Linked DNA regions of Coturnix japonica. The protein of the gene in region 1 interacts with the protein of each later gene in a biochemical or structural test. Links are inferred from orthologs where the notes say so. Each region holds a gene or a part of one and is shown in the gene's direction. Other genes may lie near its edges.

Region 1 (3,614 bases):
GGACAGGGTGGCTTGTTAACGAGTGGCAGCACAGGGAGTAGCTGGTTGCCCTGCTCCTGTGTTGGTGCTCCCAGATGGGTTTGTCTGAGCATGCAGCCGTCCCAGGAGTGTGGGCAGAGTTTCTAAAAGGTGGTTATCAGTGTCAGAAATTCACAGGGTGAGGTGAGAGATGGCAGCACTGGAGGGAAGATGGAATGGGGAACGTGGGAGGGTGAAGGGCAGCTGGGAGGTGGGCAGGTTGGTTTGTTGAGAGGCATGGTGAGTAATTTCTGTCCTGAAGGCAGTGCGGTGTGCTTCGACCTCCAACATAGTCCACCCACAGCACAGCTCCTGTTTTTCCAGGAACACCCCACATCAGTGCTCAGGGACATCCACTTCAGCTCAAGCCACCATTTACAGAGAGGCATTGTGCTCTGTTCTGGGTCGAAATGCCTCAGCTGATAAAGGGAATGTCACAAATTCACATCATTATCCAGGTGAAAATTGTGCGCTTTGCTTCTAAGGTCCACCTTCTGCATTCTGCCTTCTTTTGTATAACAATTTGATAGCACTGCTGTCAGGAGCACTCTCAGCACACGCCCTCGTGTTGCCTGTTCACTTCCTGGATGGACTGCAGTGGCTGTGCTGCATGATGCCCACAGGGCTCAGCTCTGCGCCCATGGTTGCACACCAGCTGATGTGGCTTTGCTCTCCCTCTTTGCTGCAGGAGCAAATGAAGTCTTGCTTGTGATCGGCGGCTTTGGCAGCCAGCAGTCACCCATAGATGTTGTGGAGAAGTACGACCCGAAGACCCACGAGTGGAGTTTCTTGCCTGTAAGGGACCTTTTCTGACCATCATTGAGCAGAACAGGCACGCTGACATCAAACATCGATCGTGTGCTACTGGCCACATAACCTTCCCTGGGCTGTCCTCAGTTCATTTGGGTTGTGGAGGTGTATGCAGTAAACGCTGGAATCACTTTGCTTGTAAAGCTTTGTGGGAGAGGTTGCTGCCTTATTTGCTGGGCTGAACCTGCAGAGGCTGCATCTGTGCTGTGGGAGTGAGAGCTGAAGGGCAGCATGTTTTGTCTTCAAGGGGCGTTGAGCTGTGAAGTTTGGAGGTGGCATCTGGGGTGTCAGTGGGAGCACTGGGGTCAGTGCTGCTGTGAGCACAGCAGGCTGCGTGATCCCTGCTCACGTTGGGTCTGAGTGGGAAGGGATTTATTTAGAGATAACTTCTGCAGTGCGATCTTAGAAGCAGCTGTACCAGTAGGAAGCAGCGCAGGCCTTTGTTACTGCTAATCACAGGGAACTTACATTGCTTTCTCTCCCAAAATTCAGTTCTTTTTTTGGGAGGCCAAAAGCTTCAGCTGCATCCAGCAGATCTCTGTAGCCTCCACGTTTCCCTATTGACAGGGAGCGGTGGGAGGCATGCACACCTCCAGGATGTGCCAGGGATTCAGCAGTGACAGGAGATAAGCTGACATTGTACAAAAGTATTGTGCATTCAAAGAGACCCGGGCAGCAGAAGCTGCAGAAAGCAGATGCAGTCCTGGTGCATTTCAGCCAGAGATGGATTGCTGAAATCCACACTGTCATCTGCCTCTGCCTTGAGGTGCCTCTTCCAACAAAGCAGCAAAAATGGGATAGAACAGCAGTTGTTCTGCACACACGGGGGGTTGTTTCTTCTCCTTGACCCTTTGTTTTCCTTCCTCATTTCAGAGCATCACCCGTAAGAGGCGTTACGTCGCGACTGTGTCCCTGCATGACCGGATCTATGTCATCGGGGGCTACGACGGCCGCTCCCGCCTCAGCTCCGTGGAGTGCTTGGATTACACATCAGATGAGGATGGGATCTGGTACTCCGTAGCACCCATGAACGTGCGGCGCGGGCTGGCAGGAGCCACAACCCTGGGAGGTGCATCCTGGGGCAGATCGTTGGAGCTCTTTGCTTGGCTACAACAATGGAAACCACCTCTGCTGTGTCTCCATTCTTTGTGCCACTGTGCTCTGAGCAATGGGAGCTCAAGGAGGGGCTGTGGAGGAGGAGCTCTCATGGTGGATAAGCAGCTGGAAGGGCTGGCTGGGTTCTGGGCTTGGTTGGTTGATCTGCAGGCAGGCTGATACCGTGAGGGTGAGCAGTCTGCATTTCTCTCAGGTTCAAACATGCCAAGTTCTGCTGTGGTTGCTGTATTTTGCAGTCCACATTGTAGGTTTGCTGTGTCTATGAAGGCCTTTGTGCTCCACGTGCACATTCGGTGCTCGTTGTGCTCAGCCCACCCCTGCTCTGTCGTTGCAGATATGATTTATGTTTCTGGTGGGTTTGATGGGAGCCGACGCCACACCAGCATGGAACGCTACGACCCAAACATTGACCAGTGGAGTATGCTGGGAGACATGCAGACAGCACGGGAAGGAGCGGGGCTCGTTGTAGCCAACGGAGTTATCTACTGCCTCGGTAGGTGCCCGCAGGCAGCAACATGCAGATCCTGAAGCAGACCCTGGAAGCTGTGCCATGCTTCGCTGGGATGGCGCACAGTTTGCTCCTCTCTTGTGTTTCAGGCGGCTATGATGGGCTGAACATACTGAATTCTGTGGAGAGGTACGATCCCCACACGGGACACTGGACGAACGTCACACCGATGGCCACTAAGCGCTCAGGTAGGAGCTTGTGTGCTGGTTTAGCTCCCCAGGAGGAGGATCCATAAAGGAGTGTGAGTGTGACTTTATGGGCTGTGGGGAGAGGAAGTCTGTGACTGCCCTAATTAGGAACTGGTGAGGAGCAGGCAACACAGTTAACGTATGTAATGTGATGGGACAGCGTGTGAAGGCAGCACTTGTTAGCTGCAGGGCCCAGTCAGTGAGGGGTGTTCAGGCAAGCACTGGGGCTCAGCTCCTGGGCATCCAGGACAGCAGAGAGCAGCACTGTTAGGACAGCATTACGCTGACAACTTGAGCCACTGTGTAGCCAGTTTCGGCCAACAGCATTACTGCTCTTACTGGGGCAGCTGAGCACAGCAGCTCTTACAGGCACAGCTGTCAGGCTGGCTGCAGGCTGAGTACCTCATGCTGCTCCTGCTGCCCTGGCTGCAGCTGCTCGCTCCCCCTCACTGGAAATTGAGCAGAAGTTGGCAGGGTTAGAGTTACAGCACTAGGCACAGCACTGTCAGCACTCCTGTGTCCTCTCCCTGCAGGTGCCGGAGTTGCTCTGCTGAACGACCACATTTATGTTGTTGGTGGGTTCGATGGGACGGCGCATCTCTCCTCTGTGGAAGCCTACAACATCCGCACTGATTCCTGGACCACTGTAACCAGCATGACCACCCCCCGCTGCTACGTGGGGGCCACCGTGCTGCGGGGAAGGCTGTATGCAATCGCTGGGTAAGAGATGGCCATGGGCTGGAGGGGAAGGTGCTCTGTGTGTCAGCAAGAGGGGCGAGTGACTCCAAGTGACACAACCCATGGCTGCGTTGCATTCAGCCTCTTGAATGCACATCAAGACTACTTGGGAGGACTCTGAGCATCTCAACCCCTCTCTGTGGCAGCACCCCTCAGCTGTGACTTTCTGTCCCTTCAGGTACGATGGCAACTCACTGCTGAGCAGCATTGAGTGCTACGATCCCATCATCGACAGC
Region 2 (4,281 bases), on another chromosome or scaffold:
AGGAAGAACTCCCTACGTGAGTTATATGTATATGTATATGTATATTGTATGTATATAGTTCAAAATCATGGGACAATATCGGACTGTAAGATGTAAAAGCAACATAGAGAAGTCAGTCACCTTTGCCAAAAGTACTGCAGTTATGTGATCATGTGAGTAAGGACAAGGCCACGGTGACTCTTTAGAAGTTGCACAGACATAGCTGATTAGTTTGGAATATTTGATACTGTAAGCATTTCTCCTGAATGTTGTTCAGTTTGAGTGCTTGGCTTTAACTGCCTTTACAAGCTGAATTTGTTCTTATAAAAATAAAGAATGTAAATCTGAGAGATGAATAGACCTGCCAATTTTTTTGCCAGAACCTGCTGCAGTTTATATTGATGGGTGTCAGTGAGTTAAAAACTCAGATAAAATATTACATTATGCTACTTTTATCACATAATGTATTAGTATTCTTCTCAGCAAACCTATTTTTACTGAATGGTTGATAAAGAGGAATCAAAGGAAAATAGTGTCACAGGTATTTTAACCCTCACACAACATTTTCCTGGGCAACAGGCCCAAAGATTTTGTCCACAGTACCTGGCACTGTGCACTTCTGCTCTGGCCCTTCATTTTTAAGTAGCAATACTGTACCTTATATATCCTAGTTACAGCTGGTCTCCTCCCTCCCCAAACACCTTCTACTAAAGGCAGTGTCCCTCATATATTTAAACCTATACATGCGAGTCATTTTACGTCAATAATTTAGAACCGAATCCTGAAACACGCAAAATAAGTTTGCTGTGGACAGTACTAATTACGGCACTGCGGTTTATATTTGCAAAGATGTACACACTCTGAGCAACTGTAACACAGGGGCAAAGGTGCTGGTCAGCAGCGATTCAAGACAGCAGGAAACGGGATTCGCCGGAGCGTGTAGCTGTGAAGAAGGCATTGCTAGAGAAGACGTGGCTTCGGAAGCAGAACGCTTCCATCAGTCCCTCAGCTTGCGTTACTCGGCCATCGCAAACGCCTCGCCTTCACTCCTGTCCGCTTCCCCACCGGCTCTGACCAATCGATTTATTTCTGCCTCGCTCCGCACACCGCAGCCGCACGCCCCCGGGAGCAGAGCGGGGCCCGGAGCATCCTCAGCGCGGCCGCCGCGCTCCTGTACCGCGGCTCCCCGTCCGCACGCTCGTACCTACAGACGCCGCGCTCGCAAGCCCCGCACCCTCGCTCTACCTGAGCGCACCCGCACCGCGCGTGATGGGGCGGCCCCGTCTCCACCCGAGTGAGGCCGCCGGGCCTCCAGGCCCTTCCCGGCCGTCTCTCCGGCGGCGGCTCCCGGCCCGGCCGCTGGCGGCAGCACCACCGGGCGGCGGCGGCGGCCCCTCCGCAGCGCCGCCTCCTCGCGTCCCGCGGGGAAGGTCAGGGCGGCGGTAGCGGAAGCGTCTCCCTCCCGGCTCCGCGTCCCGGAACCAGCCCCGCCGCCCCCGGCGCCGCCACCTGCCGCCCCCGCCGGCAGCATGACAGCGGCCGCCGCCCGCAGGTGACGCCCCGCGGGCCCTTTCGCCGCCGCCTCCTATATGGGCCACCTGCTCTCCAAGGAGGCCAGCAGCCTGAGCCGGGACAGCGGCGGCCGCCGTCGCCGCCGCGGGAGGAAGGTGCCGCCGCGCAGCCGGAGCTGCTTCCTGCGCGGGCCCTGCATGCTCTGCTTCATCGTGCACGGCGCCAGCTCGTCCGCCCCGGAACCGCCCCTGCCCGCCGGGGACCCGCTGCTGCCGCCGCCCTACGCGTCCCACGCCGCCGCCGAGCAGCGCGCCGCGCGCCGCCTCCTCCGCCTGCCGCCCGCCGCCTGGGAGCCGCGCGGCCGCTGCCGGCGCCTCCTCCTCTCGGGCCTGCTGCCCTCGCCGGTGCGAGGCCTCCTGGGGCCGGCCGGGCCGCCTGGCGAGGCCGTCTCCGAGATGGTGTGCAAGCGCAAGGGGGCCGGCCTGCCCGCCTGCACCCCCTGCAAGCAGCCGCGCTGCGCCGCCGGCGCGGCGGACCCCGAAGCTGCTGCCTGCCAGTGCCCCGCGGAGCCGCAGCCCTGCGCCTTGCCCTCGGCCGCCGACGGGGCGGGGAGCGGCGGGACCGCGCCGCCGAGGTGCCCCGCCGGGAGCGGAGACGGAGGGGACCGGTCGGTATCGCCGCCGCCCCCTCCCTCCGGAGACGAGAAGGAGGGAGTGAAGGAGCGGAGCGGCGAGGAGCCTTTGGAGCACCCCGGGGACGGCTGCCGGGAACCGTCGTCGCCGCCCGACATCAACCAGCTGCCGCCCTCCATCCTGCTCAAGGTGGGTCGCCGGGCCGGGGCTGCCTTCAGGGCCGCGGGGCCGGTAGGCCCGGGTGGGGCTGCAGCCGCCCGCCTTGCCCCGGGGGTCGCGGCTCAGCCCCCTCACCTGCGGCCGCTCCTCGGACACGCGCGGTCGTGCTCCTGCCCGAACTGCTGGCCCGGCCCGGCTGAGGTACGGGAGGAGCGGCCTTGGTCCCTTACCCTGTGCGGCGTGAGCTCTGAAGTTGAAGCGGAGGCAGTCGCGGTGCGCTGCCTCGGAAGCACTTCGACTTCAGCCTGTTGCATGACTTTGTAGCGCACCTCGCACGCGTGGTGCTCTCCGGGTCGGCTGTTCGGGAGCAGGCGGGCAGCCGGTGAGCTCCGCTCGTTCTGTGCGAGTCAGAGCGGTACGAGCAGGCTGTGCTGAGGGGCATACAGCTTCTTCCAGGCTGTGTTCTGAGTTCGTCTTGGTTTTACTGTGCTTCCAGTCATAATGAATTCTTGTAGCACTTCTGAGCTCTGTTCTTTAACAGCCCATTGCTTTGTATATGCCGGGTCTTGCTTTGCTTCCTCTCCCTTCTGCTGTGCTTTGGTTCCTTGATTACTGTTTGCTTTCTAGAGTAACTTATAGTTCAGGCTGCTCGGTCTATCATTCTACACACTGTTCTTCAGCTGAGCCTTAGACCAGGTGAGAACCATTGCTGGAGCTGGAGTCTGCAGTGTTTTCCAAAGTTTGTTGTCAGGGTTCCTTCAGACTGGAACCAGTTGGACTTGGAGTACTACAGAAGTTTTCTTTGGGGTTAGATGGCTGAACTTGAAGCAGTGTGTTAACAGAGCAGTGTGACAGATGGCTCTTCCTGTCTGTGACCAGATCCGTTCTCTCTGTAAACTCTGGTTGTGCAACCCCAGCACTGAAAGTGATTTCTGATCTCTTGTCCACAAACACTGACATTCTGCTATTGGTCTTCCACATAAAATTAAGTCTGTGCTTGTTTTTTGTTGTTGGCAGTGGTTTGTTTTGTTTTGGAAATATGCATTCCTGTCTTAGTTATGTTGTAATGGCATGCAACATTTTTTTTTATTTTTTCAGTAGATTCACTGCCCAAATTCCCCCGTGGCAGATATTTAAGAAATCACAAACTGCCATATCTGTCTTAATCTCTTCTGTGATCAAAACTCTGCCTCACAGTTTTACTAAAATAAAGGATCCATTTCTTTGTCACTGTTAATTTAAGATCATAGAATCATTAGGGTTGGAAGGGACCTTTAAGATCATCTAGTCTAACCACAAACCCATCACCACCATGCCTGCTAAACCACGTCTCTCAGTGCCGCAGGTGACTCCTCGTGTTATCCTTGGTATTGGGCTGTTACAACTTGAGATCAGACTGGCATAAGTACACCTTAATGACTTCTTCTCATCAGTTGTATGGCTTCTGTAGTCTCTTCAGCACGTGTCCAGTTTCACATTATCAAAAATGGCAGTCTAGCATGATCATAAACTTGTTCTTTTAATAGTGTGACTTTGTCATGCCGCTCTCATGCCTCTCTGGAAGCAGCCCCCCATTACAGCTTGCAGTGGTTTACATATACTTTGCAGGCAAGTACTGTGCAAGCACATCTGGTTGTGCTGTTTCACTACTCCTGACTGTGCAGATCATTTCCCCTCATTCCCATGCAAAGCCAAGCTCCTGGGGCAGGACAGATGGAGCCTTAGGCTCAGGGTTAGATCTCCCTGAATCCTTGTTCTGCTCTAGGACTGAAGTTTTCTCAAAGCAGTGCTGCTGGTGTTTTTGTCACATGCTTGTTTGTTGCTCCTGGTGCTGGGATGTTTGCAGCTCTGGACAGAGACCAGTGCCTGGCTTCTAGCAGAGCTGTTGAGCTCCTTCCTGCTGGCTGGTAAGGCAGAGCAGCCAGCCCTTCCTTCCCAGTGTTTGTAAGCATGAAATGGAGATGCTTGGAAAACTTTGTGCTACGTTCCACTCAGTATT
Region 3 (3,034 bases), on another chromosome or scaffold:
AGGAAGCTGAGTGAGGTACAGTTATATAAACATCCTTGCCACTAAGATCCGTGTAAGAGATTATGGAAAAGAAGAAACTCTTTTAGCAGCTCTGCACTCTTAGGCTGAACCTCTGCAGGCTGGGGAAGGTGTTTCTCTCCAACAGAGCAGATGCAGAAGCAGTCGGCTTCTTGTTCAGGATACTTCAAGGTTGTTGCTGGTGCCACATCCAGCACTACTGGAAAAGAAAACAGTGGAGGGTCTTATGCTAAAAAAGCAAAGAATGTGGGGGAAAAACTAATTGGAGTTGTTCTGGAGCGCTTGTTAAAGGCGGCTTGAGCTGTTTGTGATCCCTAAAGCTTTACAGTGTGTACCTTGATGGGCTAATCTTCTGCAACCTGCTGGAATGAGGTACCGCTCAGCCACATGACCAAACAAAGCCAGCTCTGCCTCTAATCCAAAGTCACTCCTCCAAGCAGAGTGATTCTGGGCACCCAACGTGAGCCCATGGCGAAGGCTGTGTCCTTTGGGGGTGCTGCAGCTTGGCAGCTCAGGGCCTGCTCAGAACACATCCATTCCTTGAAGCCACAAATGGGTTTTGAACACCACAGCCGAGTCAGGTTTTGTCCAGCAAAGCTGGTCAGGTTCCTAATGAAGCTTGGGTAACAAAACGTGAGGGTTGTTTCAGGATTCAGCTCCCATGTTCTGCTTGGAGCAGCTGATTTACCCTAGAGAAAAGCCCGAATTAAACACCCAGGTCTGACTCCAGCGCTCTTCTGGAAGCTCATGGGGCCTCTCAAGGGGATGGGGATATAAAAATAACCCACCAGTTTCTCCAGAGTCTCCTTTGGCTTTGCAGCTCCACTAATCATAATCCTGTGTGTGACATCAGGACTGACCGATACTAATCCATGCAGAGCTGCCTGCTCCTGCAGATGTGAATGGGGAGGACCATGAATGTCAAAAACCTCAAGGTTTCCACACAGGTCACTGGACACCCAAGTGGAGGGGCATATTATACACATGTATACAGAGCTGTTTCCCTGCATGTCAAAGGCACCCACTGACCCAGGGATCTTGTCCTTCAGTTTCAGGGGGGTGTGTGGTCCCTCAGCACTGTGCTCTGCGATGCCCTGATGACGATGGATGTGATGCTGTGCACAGCTTCCATTTTCAACCTCTGTGCTATCAGCGTGGATCGGTAAGTGCCCTTCTTCCTCCTTATGCCGTAGGAGAGGGATCATGTCTCAGCATCAAGCTGCTTCCAGTTGTACTACCCCAACCTGAGCACTGACCCACTTGTGTTGGCAGGTTTATCGCTGTTTCAGTCCCGCTGAACTACAACCGGCGACAGATCGACCTGCGGCAGCTGATCCTCATCTCCACCACGTGGATATTTGCCTTTGCTGTGGCATCCCCAGTCATATTCGGCCTCAACAATGTCCCGAACCGAGACCCCAGCTTGTGCCAGCTGGAGGATGACAACTACATCGTGTACTCCTCCATCTGTTCCTTCTTCATCCCTTGCCCCGTCATGCTGGTGCTCTACTGCGCCATGTTCCAAGGACTCAAGCGCTGGGAAGAAGCCAGGAAGGCCAAGCTAAGGGGTGGCATCTACGGGGGCAACAGAATGCTCTATCCCCCTTCGCCCTTCATTGAGAGAGAGCGGGTTGGCTTGGGGCCGGAGGAGTACCACCATTACGGCCACCCTGAGCACCCCCTTCCTGGGGACTATGTGATGAGCAATGGGCTCCAGACTGTCTCCTACCCACACCTCAAGTACCCACACCCAGCGCTCAGTCAGAAGCGGGCCAAGATCAACGGCCGGGAACGAAAGGCCATGAGGGTACTGCCTGTGGTTGTTGGTGAGTGGCCGGTGGAAGAGGCTGGTCAAGGAGGGTGGGAAATGTGCTGTGTGTTCTTATAGGGTTCAGGATTCTGTTGAGCCCGGTCCATTGAGTGCCTCGGTTTCCCTTTGATCCAGAGTAGCATCACTCCTGGGTGTTTTTAATTCAACCTTCACTTCAGCTGTCAGCATTTGTGACTCCTGATGTTTTAAATGCTAATCCAAAAATGACACACAGCTCACATCTTTTCTTCACCAGCATTTAGGAAGTTGCCCAAAATCTTATGTCATGGAGGGATGGTAGCTCTGCACTTGTTAACCCCAACCCTTTTCAATACAATACCTTCTGTCTTTAATCTCCTCCTGCCAGGTGCTTTCCTCTTCTGCTGGACGCCTTTTTTTGTGGTCCACATTACGAGGGCTCTCTGCAAGTCCTGCACCATTCCCACTCAAGTCACCAGCACCGTCACCTGGCTGGGTTACGTCAACAGTGCCGTCAACCCCATCATTTACACTGTTTTCAACGCCGAGTTCAGGAACTTCTTCCGCAAAGTCTTGCACCTCTTCTGCTGAGCTCACTGGAACTGGAGGGAATGACCAGGATCACTTTTTGTATAGCTCATTAAAGATCTATTTCTGCCTAAGGTCTGCTGTCTTTGTTGGGGAGGAGGGAAACATGGTTTCAAAATGGCAGCTCCAAGACGGTGGTTCTCAGCCCTCTGTCTCCACTGTGAGGAGTTACAGGTGAGTGCAGTGGTTGCAGCTTGGATACTGCAGGTGTAACACTTGGTGCTTGACGCAGACATCAAGAAACCCCACAAGACGGCGGGATGTTGCACAGAATGGCAATCTTCTGTCTAATGATTTTCGTGCAGGGCTGTTGCTTTCCAAGGGGTAATTTGTTTGCTTAGAAATAAAGAAGACTTGCTGGGAGGTCTTGAGATTTTCTTCGACTGAGGGTAATGATTGCTTCATCAGTTTATCATCAACACATAAACACAGGATGTTGCCACGACAATTACACTGCAGTCTTCGCTGTGTTATAGGGGTTGGCTCCCCCAGATGCCAGGGCCCTGATGAGAAGCTTCTAGAGAACTTTAATCACACGTGAGTCATACCGACACATCTTCATTTAGGATTGCTGTCCCACTCATGCTCTTCAGAACCTCCTTAATCAGAAAATGCAATAAAAACAAAATTCAGACCGTA
Region 4 (3,614 bases), on another chromosome or scaffold:
CTAGGTATGCGCTTATATGTCAGCAGTGTTGTTCTCACAATGGTATGGCTCTGAAGGAGGAGTTTGAATATGTAGGTAAGGAAACACCTGTAGTAGACTGTAGTAGTTGGCTTGTGTTTCATAACAAATGCATGTGATGCTTCATTTTGACTGCTGTTAAATACTCAACTGACACTGTTAAATGCCACTGCGTATGGGAACAGTTTTATGGTAGCTTGCTACTCTGTGTCTAAAGATTCACTTTAAGATTTAAAGAAGTACTTCTCTGCAACCTCCAGGCCAGGGGTTGAGTGCAGAAAAGTATTCAGTAGAAATAAACCTCCTCCAATACATCCCTGAGAATTGGTACTGACTTGGAATGGTTCTCAGGTGGGTTTTGTGTTGAGAAACGATCTGACATTGAAGTATTCCTCTTTTACCAGAACTTAAAACTTTACTTTGGTAAGAAGATCTTGGGGAGACATCGAAAAAGGAGTGGGAACAAGCCCTGGGAGGCTATATGTGAATTTATAGCAGACAATAACTTAAGACAGACACAGCTCATTATTGAACACAGATGTTTTATTTTGCCTTCTTTCTACCACAAGTGTAAGCCTGATGTTTGAAAAATGGGAGAATGGTAGATAAGTCTATTTAATCTTGTTTCTCTTAATTTTGTGAGAAAATATACAGCACTGTAAAGGAATAAGATGGAAGTTTCCTTTGAGTCTGAATATATTTAGTCTGTATGTCATCCCAGCTCAAGTGTGTTTGCAGCTCTATTGTGCAAGAGATGACCATTTCCCTCCACTCATGTCTTGGTGAAAATATGTGTTTAGCTGTTATGTGGTATACAGAACTTCAGAAGAAAATTGCATTTTCTTAATTAAGCAACACTGGAACTGAATGCTCCTCTAAGAGCAGATAGTGAGGGAATGCGTTAGAGTCCACAGCATCCCTTTACTTGAAAGACGAGAACATTGGCATCTTAAGGAAAAAGTAATCTGCTGGTTTAGGTCTTTTGCAGGAAAGAATAGAACAGCATGTGACAACAACTCCTGGTACTGAATTTTCAGTACATATTTCACAATTATGGGCAAAAATATCCTTGCAGAAGCGCAGCAGAGCTGAAAGCAAACAGGTATTTAATAAGTAAATGTGTGCTGAAAGGGAAAAAAAAACCCAACAAAAACCAAAACTAAATAGAACACTTTGTATAAATTTGATGAGAATAAGCTTTGATGTTGATAGTCATTTAATTCTCTTTATAGTATTTTGGACAGTCAAGATATTGTGCAGGAGTAAGGTGAGATGTGAAATCAGTTAGTGGGGCTATTTACTGGATGTGCTTTTGTGCAGCATTTAGGTGTGCCTACTGCTTTTTCCTGAATCCTGCAAGAAAAACGAGGCCTCGGGCTCCTCGGCTTCCAGATTTCAAGTTTGAGAAAAAGCAACTTTCAGAATTGCAATCGGAAACAGAGCATCCAGAATCAAGAGAGAGCGAACCGCAGGGGAATCAGCAGGCAGAAGGTACGTGTTAATCTCAAGTCTGCTCCTATTTAGTGCCCAATGAAATGGCAATTTCCCCATGCATGCTGGTACTGAGTGTGCCATCTTTTACTGATGTGTAATGTCTATATGTTTCTCTTAACTGTGTGTTAGTATTTCTCTGCCTGGGTGATTTTGTTTTTCTATAGAAGTAGCTTTATAGTAGGTACCGTCTAATTTTTCCAATCTGTTTGTCCCTGCTTATAGCTTAACTTGATACTGTTGCTTTTGGTCTAAAACTCCAAGGTTTCTTGCAGTATGTCCATTGGAAATGATGTTACGGCAAAATTATTTATACCACTGTTACTGATAAACTCATGGAAAATAGCATTGTTAAGGAGCGAAGTGGTTAACTTCAACTGTGTTCAGCAGGTCATTTGATTAAGTTGTGTTGGAATTTCTGCCTTTGTTCCTTTTGCTGTTTTCCCCAGGGCAGGAAAATCTAGTAAAAACCACCTTGTTTAGAATTAGGGAGTTCAAAGACAAATTGTCAATTTTAATTTAACGTAGTTCCTTTTGAGACGTTTTATAGTCTGCAGATACAGTAGGCATCTGGTGTACAGCCAACAGGAAGATGCAGTGTTTTAAAAGACTTTGGGAATTATAGTTTTGAACCCAAGACTCTCCAGTTGGCTACATTCTTGTGTATTTACTGGCATTTTGCCTTAGTTCAAATAATAGTGGAGTATACTGGAAAAAGTTGTCTAAGATGTTCAGTCTGGAAGCTCATCATCTGTAGTAGACTGTCATATTGTGACACAATACTTGTTTACTCTTTAACACTGAGTACAAAATGGCATCAGCCTTTCCTTCTGGCATGGGAATGCTGATTAAGACTGGTAGGGAAGAATTATCTAGCTGTAGCCATCTCTGTGGGTGTGATCTGATGAAAGGTGCGCTGCAGGAAAACTTGCTTGGCTACTTTTCCTGTCAAAGCAGTGCTTGTAACTGGGCAGCTTGCCTCAGCTAGTTTCAGTGTAGTTCCCTAACCAGTTGTTGGCTCGCCTGAAAGGATAATGTCTGGTTTGTATGTATTGTGGAGCAATGTAAAGGAGGTAAGAAATTCCTTTTGACATAGACTGAAAAGTTCCACATACAAGTATTTAAGACGGCATATTTTATTTCTCTCCCCTTGTGTTTGCCAGTATGCCACAGGTTACAATCTGTCTTAAGTATGTAAATATAGCTGTTGCTAACAGTTTTATTCACATAACTAAGGAGATGGAGAACTACAGTAGAATGACAACAGAGATAGGTGTACTTAACTACTTAAGTGTACTTTTATGATATAAGTATCAAAACAAGAACTAAATCAGATGTGTGAAGCCAGACCATGCAAATTTCACCATTGACCTCTAATTGTCTGATCTATTCAGCTAATAGTGGATGGACTGATAAATTCATGACTACTTTTAAAAGCAGAAGATTGTTGTAGAAAAGACACAGTTAATGGGGTCTTCAGATCTCAGGGATTCTGTATGAATCAAACAGGGAAGCCCCTGCAGACTGATATTTAACTCTTGGAGATACGTGCCTTGAGGGCATCTGAGTAACGTTCAGCTGCAGCCTTTTAGAGGTTTTGAGAGAGGGTGTGCTAATTAAGCTAGTGTTATCTTTGAAGTAATGTTTATCAAACTATACTTTTAATGGGTCTGAGCTGCTGAGTCAGTTTATAGATGTTGTTAAAAAAAAGAAAGCTTTAAGAATTAGTGTTTCATTAGGCAGTTGAGATGTGGGAGTGAAAATTCTGTGAAATACTGCTTTTCTCAAAGTAGGTTTTTTTAGAAAAAAACATTTTTCTTTGATTTACCCTTAACACTGAAAATTACTTTTTTTCTGGTTGTGGTCTTTGTGTTTTGGTGTGTTTCTTTAACATAAAACAACAAAAACCAACAAATATTAAACCACTATGGGAGTCATTTCCTACTTATCTTTTCCTGGTTAAGAAGTACATGCTGAAAATTCTGGGGAGAGAAATTAGATATTACAACTTGGTCTGTTGACTTTTGTTTCTGTGTTGTTTAAATACCGTGTCTTTTCTGAATATTTCACCTACAAGGTATGAACTATTCTGTTTTGATAATTAG
Region 5 (4,122 bases), on another chromosome or scaffold:
AGATGCCAGCAGAGATATGAAGCAGACTATCATCGAGACTTTGGATCAAGGGCCAAGCCAACCCAACCCAAACTACGTGCCAATTTTTAAAGAAATTACAGTTCCTACTCTAACTGTGCCGAAACTACTTAAGTAATGGACAGCTCTGTTCATGTGTGGGATCCCACTGGTGTGGGATTGATGGGTGTGAAGTATTAGAGGGCAAGTTTGGCAGTGCTATTTCAAGTAACATTCGATGCACACTAGATCTGTTTCTTTCTGAAGATGTGGAATATAATGAGATTTCTACAGGTGCTGATGCTGCTGTCAGCAAATACATTTTGAGTCGTGAAATGTGGCATTGCAAATGTATAAAGATACTTACACTGAAAATAACACGGCTGTGGCAGTGCTGGGTGTATATTGCTGTCCTAGAGTCATCGTCCCATGGCACAGCATTGGGTGTACATTAATGTCCCCATTCCACTCCCACGTTAAACTTGGTGTATGTAATTACTTGGGTGTAAAATAGTTTATGGCAAAAACCTTAATTATGGAGCCAGCTTCCTGGCCACGGGACTGTAGAGGGAATAAATAAATAGCTAAAAACAGCATGAGGTACAATATGTCTTTGTGGATTCACTAAAAAGAGCACACGAATCATCACTTGTTCAATAAAATGCTGGACCATGGCCATGTTCTGCTGTGTGTGCTGTGTTTTGGCTGAGGGGGGGGATGAACTTTTACATAGTGAAAGGTCTGGAGCACAGGCCTTATGAGGGGCGGCTGAGGGAGCTGGGATTGTTCAGCCTGGAGAAGAGGAGGCTCAGGGGAGACATTATTGCTCTCTATAACTTCCTGAAGGGAGGTTGTGATGAGGAGGGGCTTGGCCTCTTCTGCCAGGCAACAAACAGGACCCGAGTAAATGGCCGCAAGTTGTACCAGATGAGGTTTAGATTGGATATAAGAAGGAGCTTTATCTCTCAGACAGTGGTCAGACACTGGAATGGCTGCATAGGGAGGTGGTGGAGTCACCATCCCTGTCAGTGTTCGAGAGGCATCTGGATGAGGAGCTACGAGATATGGTTTAGTGCTTTGCTGTAGGTATGGTAATGGGAGGGCGGCTGGACTAGGTGATCCTGTAGGTCCTTTCCAACCTTATGACTCTATGTAAAAGCTGATTTTACATAGACAGTCCAGGGAAGCCGCGGGTTCCAGGCCGGGCCCGCACGGCCTTAGGAAGCACCGGCTTCTTGTCGCCATGGTGCTTCCCCGCTTGGCGCTGCCTGCTGACATCACCCCCGCCCCGCTCGCCCCGCCCCAGGAAGCGGAAGGAGAGTCGCGCTGTCGGAGCTGGGGCGGCCGTGATGGCGGCGCCTCACGGGATGGGGCTGCCCGACCCCTCCTTCCTGTGGAACGTCTTCCAGAGGTGAGGCCGCGGGGGCTCGGGGCTGCCCGCACAGCTGGCACGGGGAGCGATCGGGCCTTGGGAGGAGGCTGGATGCCTCTAATGGGCCCCGGGCATCGGCCGAGCTCTGCGGCTGTGTCCCCGCAGCGGGAATCTAAGGGAGAGCTGCAAGGAGCGCTTGGGGAGGCGGGGTAGGGCAAGGAGGTGACCTGAAGGCGTCTGCCAAATGGGAATCGGGGAGGTGCCCCATCCCTGGAGGTGCTCAAGGCCAGGTTGGATGGGGCCCTGGGCAGCTGAGCTGCTGGGGACAGCCCTGCACATGGCACAGGGTGGGGATGGGTGGGCTCTGAGGGCCCTTCCAACACAAACCGTGCGAGGTTTGGATCAGCAATGAGTAACAGTAACTGCCTGGCAGAACACAGCAGTGACTCAGAGAGGTGACATTTGTCCACCACCCTTGTGTAAAAGCACTTTATCTGGGAACTTGACGGAAGTATGTGTGGGGATTGCTTATTGATATGGATAAGGCTGCTACAGTTGGTGTAGTTCAGATAGTTTCCAAAGAAGCTTTCAGCCATAAGCATCGAGGAGCTTTAGAGAAATCTGGCAGGCACAGAATGAAAGTCCTTCAGCGGGTAAATAACTGGCTGAAAGGGAAATTCTGTCACACTGATTGATGCAGCAGTTCTGGGATCTTCATTCAATATGTTCAAGAGCATCTGTGGGAACAGAGGGTGAATGATCAGCTGAAGCACGAGCTTCAGCTTCTGGTTACATGGACTTAATGTTTGGACTTTTATAAGGCATCTGTTCCTTTTTCTACTAACAAAGCACAAACGTGCACTCCAGGTGTCATGGCGGATTCCTGCAGTGTGAAGGCTTGGCAGGAGCACCTTGCTGTACTGAGTGACCGGGCTGTGTCACCTTCACGGTTGGATCCTGATTGCTGTATCACGGGTAGATGAATTCCAGAGTAGATACCCGATGGCTGTGAGGAGGATTCATGTCGTTTTGTATATCAAATGAATGTGCTCCGTGCTGACTGATGGTCAGGAGCAAGATAAGCAGGTTGTAATTCTGCTAGGATTACATGGCAGGGTTTGGTAGCGGGGCCTGGGGTGGCTCTGTGAGCAAAGCCCTGTGCTGCCCCACGCCCGTGACTGATTTATTTGGTAGGGACGGAAATGCTGAGGGTTGTAGCTAAATTCTGTTCACTTCAGCACCTCAAGGCACGCCACTTCTTCTCCCCTCCTCCAGGGTTGATAAAGACAGGAGTGGAGTGATCTCAGACACGGAGCTTCAGCAGGCACTGTCCAATGGTGAGTCTGTGAAGGGGGAAGGAGGCCCCTTGTGAACTTCGTGCTACATTCCATGCCAGTCTGGCTACTCGACTCTTCTGGTCTTGACGTTTTACTCCTTGCCCACCTCTGCTGCACCTTCCCTTTTGAACCAGAGCAAAGGTCAGATGTTTACAGCCAGCCTTTTTCCTGCATGTAAGAGCCCTTCATTCAGTACAGTGCAGGAAGTGAAGGTGCTAATTTCTTATTTGTAAATGAGGCAATTTGTTCTCCACTTTCTTTTCCTAACCAAGTAGAAAGCTGTACTTCAGACCTCGCTTGACTCGTAACTGGGGCGTGGTCAAATAGCTCTGGGTAGCCAAATGAAAACTGAACGCTTCTTTCCAGTCGTCACATTTTCCTTCCTGCTGGTCATTCGGGATGGTGGAGTTGTTTTTTTTTTCTAGAATACATCCTCTGTGGGTGGTTGTGTGTCACAGTCCAATGTGGGCCAAAAGAACGTAACGTGTTTCTTTCGAGAACACTAAGCAAGTATTCACTGCTCTCACTGTATATTGAAGCTCAATGCGTTCTTGAAGATCAGCTTTTCAACGTGCCAAATTTATGGCTGTAGTAGTACATGTATCTGGGAAGGATGGGAGACCACACAACAGAGTTGTTTGCACAGTAAAATACTGTGCTGCCTTCTTGCCTTTTGTTTCTTTTTTCTCTCCTGTGCTGACATGCTGAGGTATTTGTTGTGTCAGGGGAGGAGGAGGTAGGCTGCTGCTGGCTACCTGCAAGCTGAAATCAGTACAGTTCTTCAGCACCAGAGTTGCTGTGGTTTCTCTGTATGGAATCTGTATTAGTCTGTTGTCATGTCTTTCTTTGACATGAAATAATATAACTCTGCTCTTTAGAACTCTGGAGTGATTCCAACCCAGTAAAAACTGGCCCAAAGTGAGGAGCCTTTCCACATTCAGTAGCAGCTGCTGACAGAAGCCCAAAGCTCCTCTACACACGGCTGTGCTCAGGCCTGCCCAAGCACTAACATTTCTTGGCCTGAAAACACACTCATTTAAACAATGCTTTCAATTCAGCATGGGGAGGGGATTTATACAAAACTCAGCTTGAAATCGCATTGTGTGCCTCTTGTGATGTTAAGAACCTGTTCTTTTCAGTGTCCTGGAGTAACCCATCTGTAGAATAGGGAGCAGTCAGATTTTTAGTTTTATTAATGAGAAATGGGCAAAAGACTCCTGACAACCATTCTTGGTTCTTCTAAGGCTTTGGTTCTCGGCTGGATTTTAGTTTATGTTTTGGGGTGTTTTTTTATGCAGACTGAAAAATGTTGGGTTTCTGTGCAACATTATTAGAGCATTGGTCAGAAGTCATCAAGACCACAGTTACTTCAAAGCAGCTTTGTTAAATGAGGAGTAGCTTGCTTAGCTCTGAATT
Region 6 (3,614 bases), on another chromosome or scaffold:
ATCACTGTTTCAACCTATTAGTTTGCATAAAATGTGTTAATGATGGTGCAATCAGTCGAACCATTTGAGTGGATTGGTAACCATATCTGCATACAGAAGTGTTGAATTTAATTTTATTTAATTGAATTTTATTTATGGTGACTGTACCTTTACAGCTACTCATGCAAAAAACAGAAGAAGGAGTGGGGAGGACATTTTGACGTAGACTGCTCAGCTACTGTAGCAACTTGCTGACAAACATGCTGTATCACCATTTTGCATTCGTATTAATATGTTACTTGGTTGTGACTTCTCACACAGGGGTATATTGGCTATTGCTTGGAGTATGGCAGATTCAGAGCTGCTACTAAGCTGTGGGAAGGATGCCAAAATACTGTGTTCAAACCCTAACACGGGCGAGGTACTGTATGCACATCACTTACTAAAAACTGTTTGGAGGTGTCATGGTGTTATGTAAAGCAGCAATTTAAGAGCAGTTGATCTGTTTTCAAGCACTTTCACTAATTTTTGCAATATGGACTTCTTGCTTGTTGTGTGGGCAAGATCATTCTGCAGACAGGGAGAGATGTGCTGTCAGAATCCAGACTTGGCTGCAGAAGTGTAAGGCAAAAGGTGGGATAGCAGGTGTGTGATCCAAGCTGGATTCTGAGCTGGGGAGCTCTACGTTTGGGTGACTCATACTGCATAGTTTGATGTAAAATAAAAACCTTTTCCTGGGAGACAGTGATGCAGTTACTGCTTGGCCCCCTCAGCAAAACTTTAGTAGACAAGCAAAGAACAAATCCTTTCTTTGAGATTAAATGTCTCTTGTAGTGGTAAACTTGTCTGTTCTGGGCCAGGAGAAACTCCTGGGAGCAGCATAGGTTTTAACTCTCCCAGTTGTCCCCCAGAACATACTGCCTTTGGAGCCTGGGTGTGTTCCCATGTTTTGTGGATGAGTTACCACGAGTTCCAGCAGCTCGTCACAATGCACAGAGCCAAGTCAGTAGCTGCACGTGCAGCACAGAAATACACTGCCTGCTTAGCTGACCATATGTGGAATAAACAGAAAAGTCAATGGGAATAGGAGATAAAGCAGTGGTGTGTGGTGCTGGATTGTCACGTCCTCATTGTTAGTGTGTATGGGTGATGTGGGGGCTGCTGGGGAGCAAGAAGAGCAGCTTCGTCTCTGGGCACACAGGAAAGTTGCTGTTGCTGCTCATGGTATTTCATATTCACTCTGATGTACCGGACTTGTTTCTGCTGCCCAGGTTCTCTATGAGTTGCCCACAAACATGCAGTGGTGCTTTGACATCCAATGGTGTCCCAGAAATCCTGCCATCCTCTCTGCAGCTGCATTCGATGGACGGATCAGCATTTACTCTATCATGGGAGGCAGCACGGACGGGTTGAGGCAGAAGCACGTTGACCAGGTACTGAGAAGCATGAAGCTAAGAAAATGGTTAGAAAGGGGATAAAGCATGGGTTTGTGGGTAGCCTTTGGAGGGTGTCCCAACTGTGTGCTTGCAGGAGTACTAATCTGCTGTAGAAAAAAGAAACAGTTCAGTTTATTGGAGATGATGTCTCACTCTAGGTTTTGTGGGTTTTTTCCACACCTTTTTATTTTCAAAGCTTTCATCCTCATTTGGGAACCTTGACCCATTTGGGACAGGACAGCCTCTCCCACCCCTGCAGCTTCCCCAGCAGACTGCACCACAGAGCGTCGTTCTGCCCCTAAAGAAACCCCCCAAATGGATCCGGCGACCTGTGGGAGCATCGTTCTCTGTGAGTAGGGACCGTGTCTGGGCACAGCTGGCCAGGCAGGAGGGAGATACAGGTAGTGGTGGCACCTGCAAAGCACATCTGAAACAGGGGAATTTGTCATTGTGTTCCACATCATGAGAGTGTGCCCTGTTTGCTGGGGTGACAGGAGATGCTCAAAACAGCATCTGGACTGGGCATTTGGGACAGCATGCCAGCAAAAGCATGACAAAAATGCTTGGAGAAAGAAATGGGGAGGCATTGTGTTGCCCAGAGGCACTTCTTTCTGTTTTGGAATTGAGGGCTTTGCTTTTACTTGTGTAGTGTTTGCTTTGAATAAACAAATGTATTATTGGAAGGGACAAGTTGGGCAACTAGCTGAGATTTCAGTCCAGTTTGTAGGCATTATATGGCTCAGCGTGGAGAAAGATAACTAGGTATGCTCTGATGGAAGGTAGCAGGAGCCCCTGAAACAGCACACAGGCCTGGGCTCCTCTCTCATTGTAGGAGTTGCAGAGAAGCTGTATGACAGGCAGGCAAGGCCCTGCTTTTCATGAGAGCAGGGTCATTTGCTCTTCAGCTACCACCAGTGCCTTGCTTTCTGGACTCTGAGGCTGTTTCCCAAGAGAATTAATGAAGATTTTTAGGCAGACAGTCTACTTGAAATGGATTGCTGTGCCAAAGTACTGCCTTTGTTTTTATCAGTGTGTCTGCTTATTCGTCATCTCATCCACAAATTAAATGCAGCTTTTCTCCTCTCAAGTAGAAGCAATATTGCCTAGCCACTGATTGATGTGTCATTTTATAACAGTTTATTTCCTTGTCCTGGTTTTCCAATTTGTCAGCCTCTTTCTTGGCCATAGTTTTTGTAATGCTCACTTTGGTCTGGCCTGTGTCAGTTGACTTTAAGCTATAAAATGAAATCGTATTCTAGGCACCATTTAATGTTGTTTTTTTTTTTCCTTTCCTTTCTGTTGGTTTTATTTCTTTCTAAATTTCAATTCAATTCACTGCCGAAATTGTTTGAATTTGTAAACAGGCTGCTGTAAGTAGGGTACACATGATACTTGAGCATCTATTTAATGATGCATAGGGTTTTTTAGTGTGTTGTGGGCTAACCCTAGTAAGCCCCTGAACCTCGTTTACCTGCCCACTGGCTCTCTTACAGTTGGATTAGGTACAGAATCAGAAGGATAAAAGTGAGAAAACTCATTAATTGAGATAAAGCCGGTTTAAATAGATAAAGCAAAAGCTGCATGTGGAAGCAAAGGAGGAAGGAATACGTTCACCCCTTCCTACTGGCATGCAGATGTTTAAGCATTGAAGAAGCAGGGCTTCATCATGCATAGTGGGTATTTGGTAAGAGAAATGCCATAACTCAAGATGTCCCCCCATTTCCTCCACTCCTTGCTGGAGGGGGAGCTTGAGACACAGAATACTCTGATGTGGTGTAACTGTCATGTAGCAACAGTTAAAACAGGGGTGTGGTGTCAACGCTATTTCAATCACCAGTCCAAAACATAGCACTGCATGGGCTGCAGTGAACAAAATTAACTGCTGCCACACCTTGTACAGCACTGTCATAGCACCAGATACTCACAGACCCATTTCTCAGGTCTCACACACACTTATCCAGCGAGCTGCTTTATTGCATGGGAATGTGGGGTGGTGATACAAGCTGATATTTGTTTGCTGAATGATCATTTATGTATCAAATGAAAACATGTGCGTGTGTTATGTATGCATAGTTTTTTCACACATATCCAAGTGCGTACTTGCATTTTTACATGCTCTGCTTGTGTCTTTATTCCAGTTTGGAGGCAAGCTGGTTACATTTGAGAATGCCAAGCCTCAACAGCAGCCAGGCATTGATC

Evidence for each region.
Region 2: the proteins of KLHL12 (region 1) and FBXL17 form a complex in vitro, tested with the Homo sapiens proteins (3 studies listed by BioGRID, with this or other methods). The link is inferred for Coturnix japonica from reciprocal best matches to the Homo sapiens genes KLHL12 and FBXL17.
Region 3: of the proteins of KLHL12 (region 1) and DRD4, one has a biochemical effect on the other in vitro, tested with the Homo sapiens proteins (2 studies listed by BioGRID, with this or other methods). The link is inferred for Coturnix japonica from reciprocal best matches to the Homo sapiens genes KLHL12 and DRD4.
Region 4: the proteins of KLHL12 (region 1) and LNPK form a complex in vitro, tested with the Homo sapiens proteins (2 studies listed by BioGRID, with this or other methods). The link is inferred for Coturnix japonica from reciprocal best matches to the Homo sapiens genes KLHL12 and LNPK.
Region 5: the proteins of KLHL12 (region 1) and PDCD6 form a complex in vitro, tested with the Homo sapiens proteins (2 studies listed by BioGRID). The link is inferred for Coturnix japonica from reciprocal best matches to the Homo sapiens genes KLHL12 and PDCD6.
Region 6: of the proteins of KLHL12 (region 1) and SEC31A, one has a biochemical effect on the other in vitro, tested with the Homo sapiens proteins (3 studies listed by BioGRID, with this or other methods). The link is inferred for Coturnix japonica from reciprocal best matches to the Homo sapiens genes KLHL12 and SEC31A.

The regions. Positions count from the first base shown.
Region 1 is NC_029541.1:903,433-907,046, forward strand, and holds part of KLHL12 (kelch-like protein 12), read left to right. Parts: intron 1-706; coding exon 707-813; intron 814-1,701; coding exon 1,702-1,897; intron 1,898-2,278; coding exon 2,279-2,437; intron 2,438-2,541; coding exon 2,542-2,640; intron 2,641-3,173; coding exon 3,174-3,360; intron 3,361-3,556; coding exon 3,557-3,614. UniProt on the Homo sapiens protein: Substrate-specific adapter of a BCR (BTB-CUL3-RBX1) E3 ubiquitin ligase complex that acts as a negative regulator of Wnt signaling pathway and ER-Golgi transport.
Region 2 is NC_029547.1:42,393,979-42,398,259, forward strand, and holds the start of FBXL17 (F-box/LRR-repeat protein 17), read left to right. Parts: upstream 1-1,466; 5' UTR 1,467-1,568; coding exon 1,569-2,312; intron 2,313-4,281. UniProt on the Homo sapiens protein: Substrate-recognition component of the SCF(FBXL17) E3 ubiquitin ligase complex, a key component of a quality control pathway required to ensure functional dimerization of BTB domain-containing proteins (dimerization quality control, DQC).
Region 3 is NC_029520.1:661,163-664,196, reverse strand, and holds the end of DRD4 (D(4) dopamine receptor), read left to right. Parts: intron 1-1,067; coding exon 1,068-1,180; intron 1,181-1,290; coding exon 1,291-1,844; intron 1,845-2,195; coding exon 2,196-2,398; 3' UTR 2,399-2,469; downstream 2,470-3,034. UniProt on the Homo sapiens protein: Dopamine receptor responsible for neuronal signaling in the mesolimbic system of the brain, an area of the brain that regulates emotion and complex behavior.
Region 4 is NC_029522.1:14,608,954-14,612,567, forward strand, and holds part of LNPK (endoplasmic reticulum junction formation protein lunapark), read left to right. Parts: intron 1-4; coding exon 5-75; intron 76-1,338; coding exon 1,339-1,509; intron 1,510-3,614. UniProt on the Homo sapiens protein: Endoplasmic reticulum (ER)-shaping membrane protein that plays a role in determining ER morphology. Involved in the stabilization of nascent three-way ER tubular junctions within the ER network.
Region 5 is NC_029517.1:80,102,827-80,106,948, forward strand, and holds the start of PDCD6 (programmed cell death protein 6), read left to right. Parts: upstream 1-1,277; 5' UTR 1,278-1,346; coding exon 1,347-1,408; intron 1,409-2,644; coding exon 2,645-2,706; intron 2,707-4,122. Other genes in the region: EXOC3 (exocyst complex component 3), read left to right, coding at 1-136. UniProt on the Homo sapiens protein: Calcium sensor that plays a key role in processes such as endoplasmic reticulum (ER)-Golgi vesicular transport, endosomal biogenesis or membrane repair.
Region 6 is NC_029519.1:41,246,278-41,249,891, forward strand, and holds part of SEC31A (protein transport protein Sec31A), read left to right. Parts: intron 1-300; coding exon 301-400; intron 401-1,250; coding exon 1,251-1,412; intron 1,413-1,611; coding exon 1,612-1,764; intron 1,765-3,553; coding exon 3,554-3,614. UniProt on the Homo sapiens protein: Component of the coat protein complex II (COPII) which promotes the formation of transport vesicles from the endoplasmic reticulum (ER).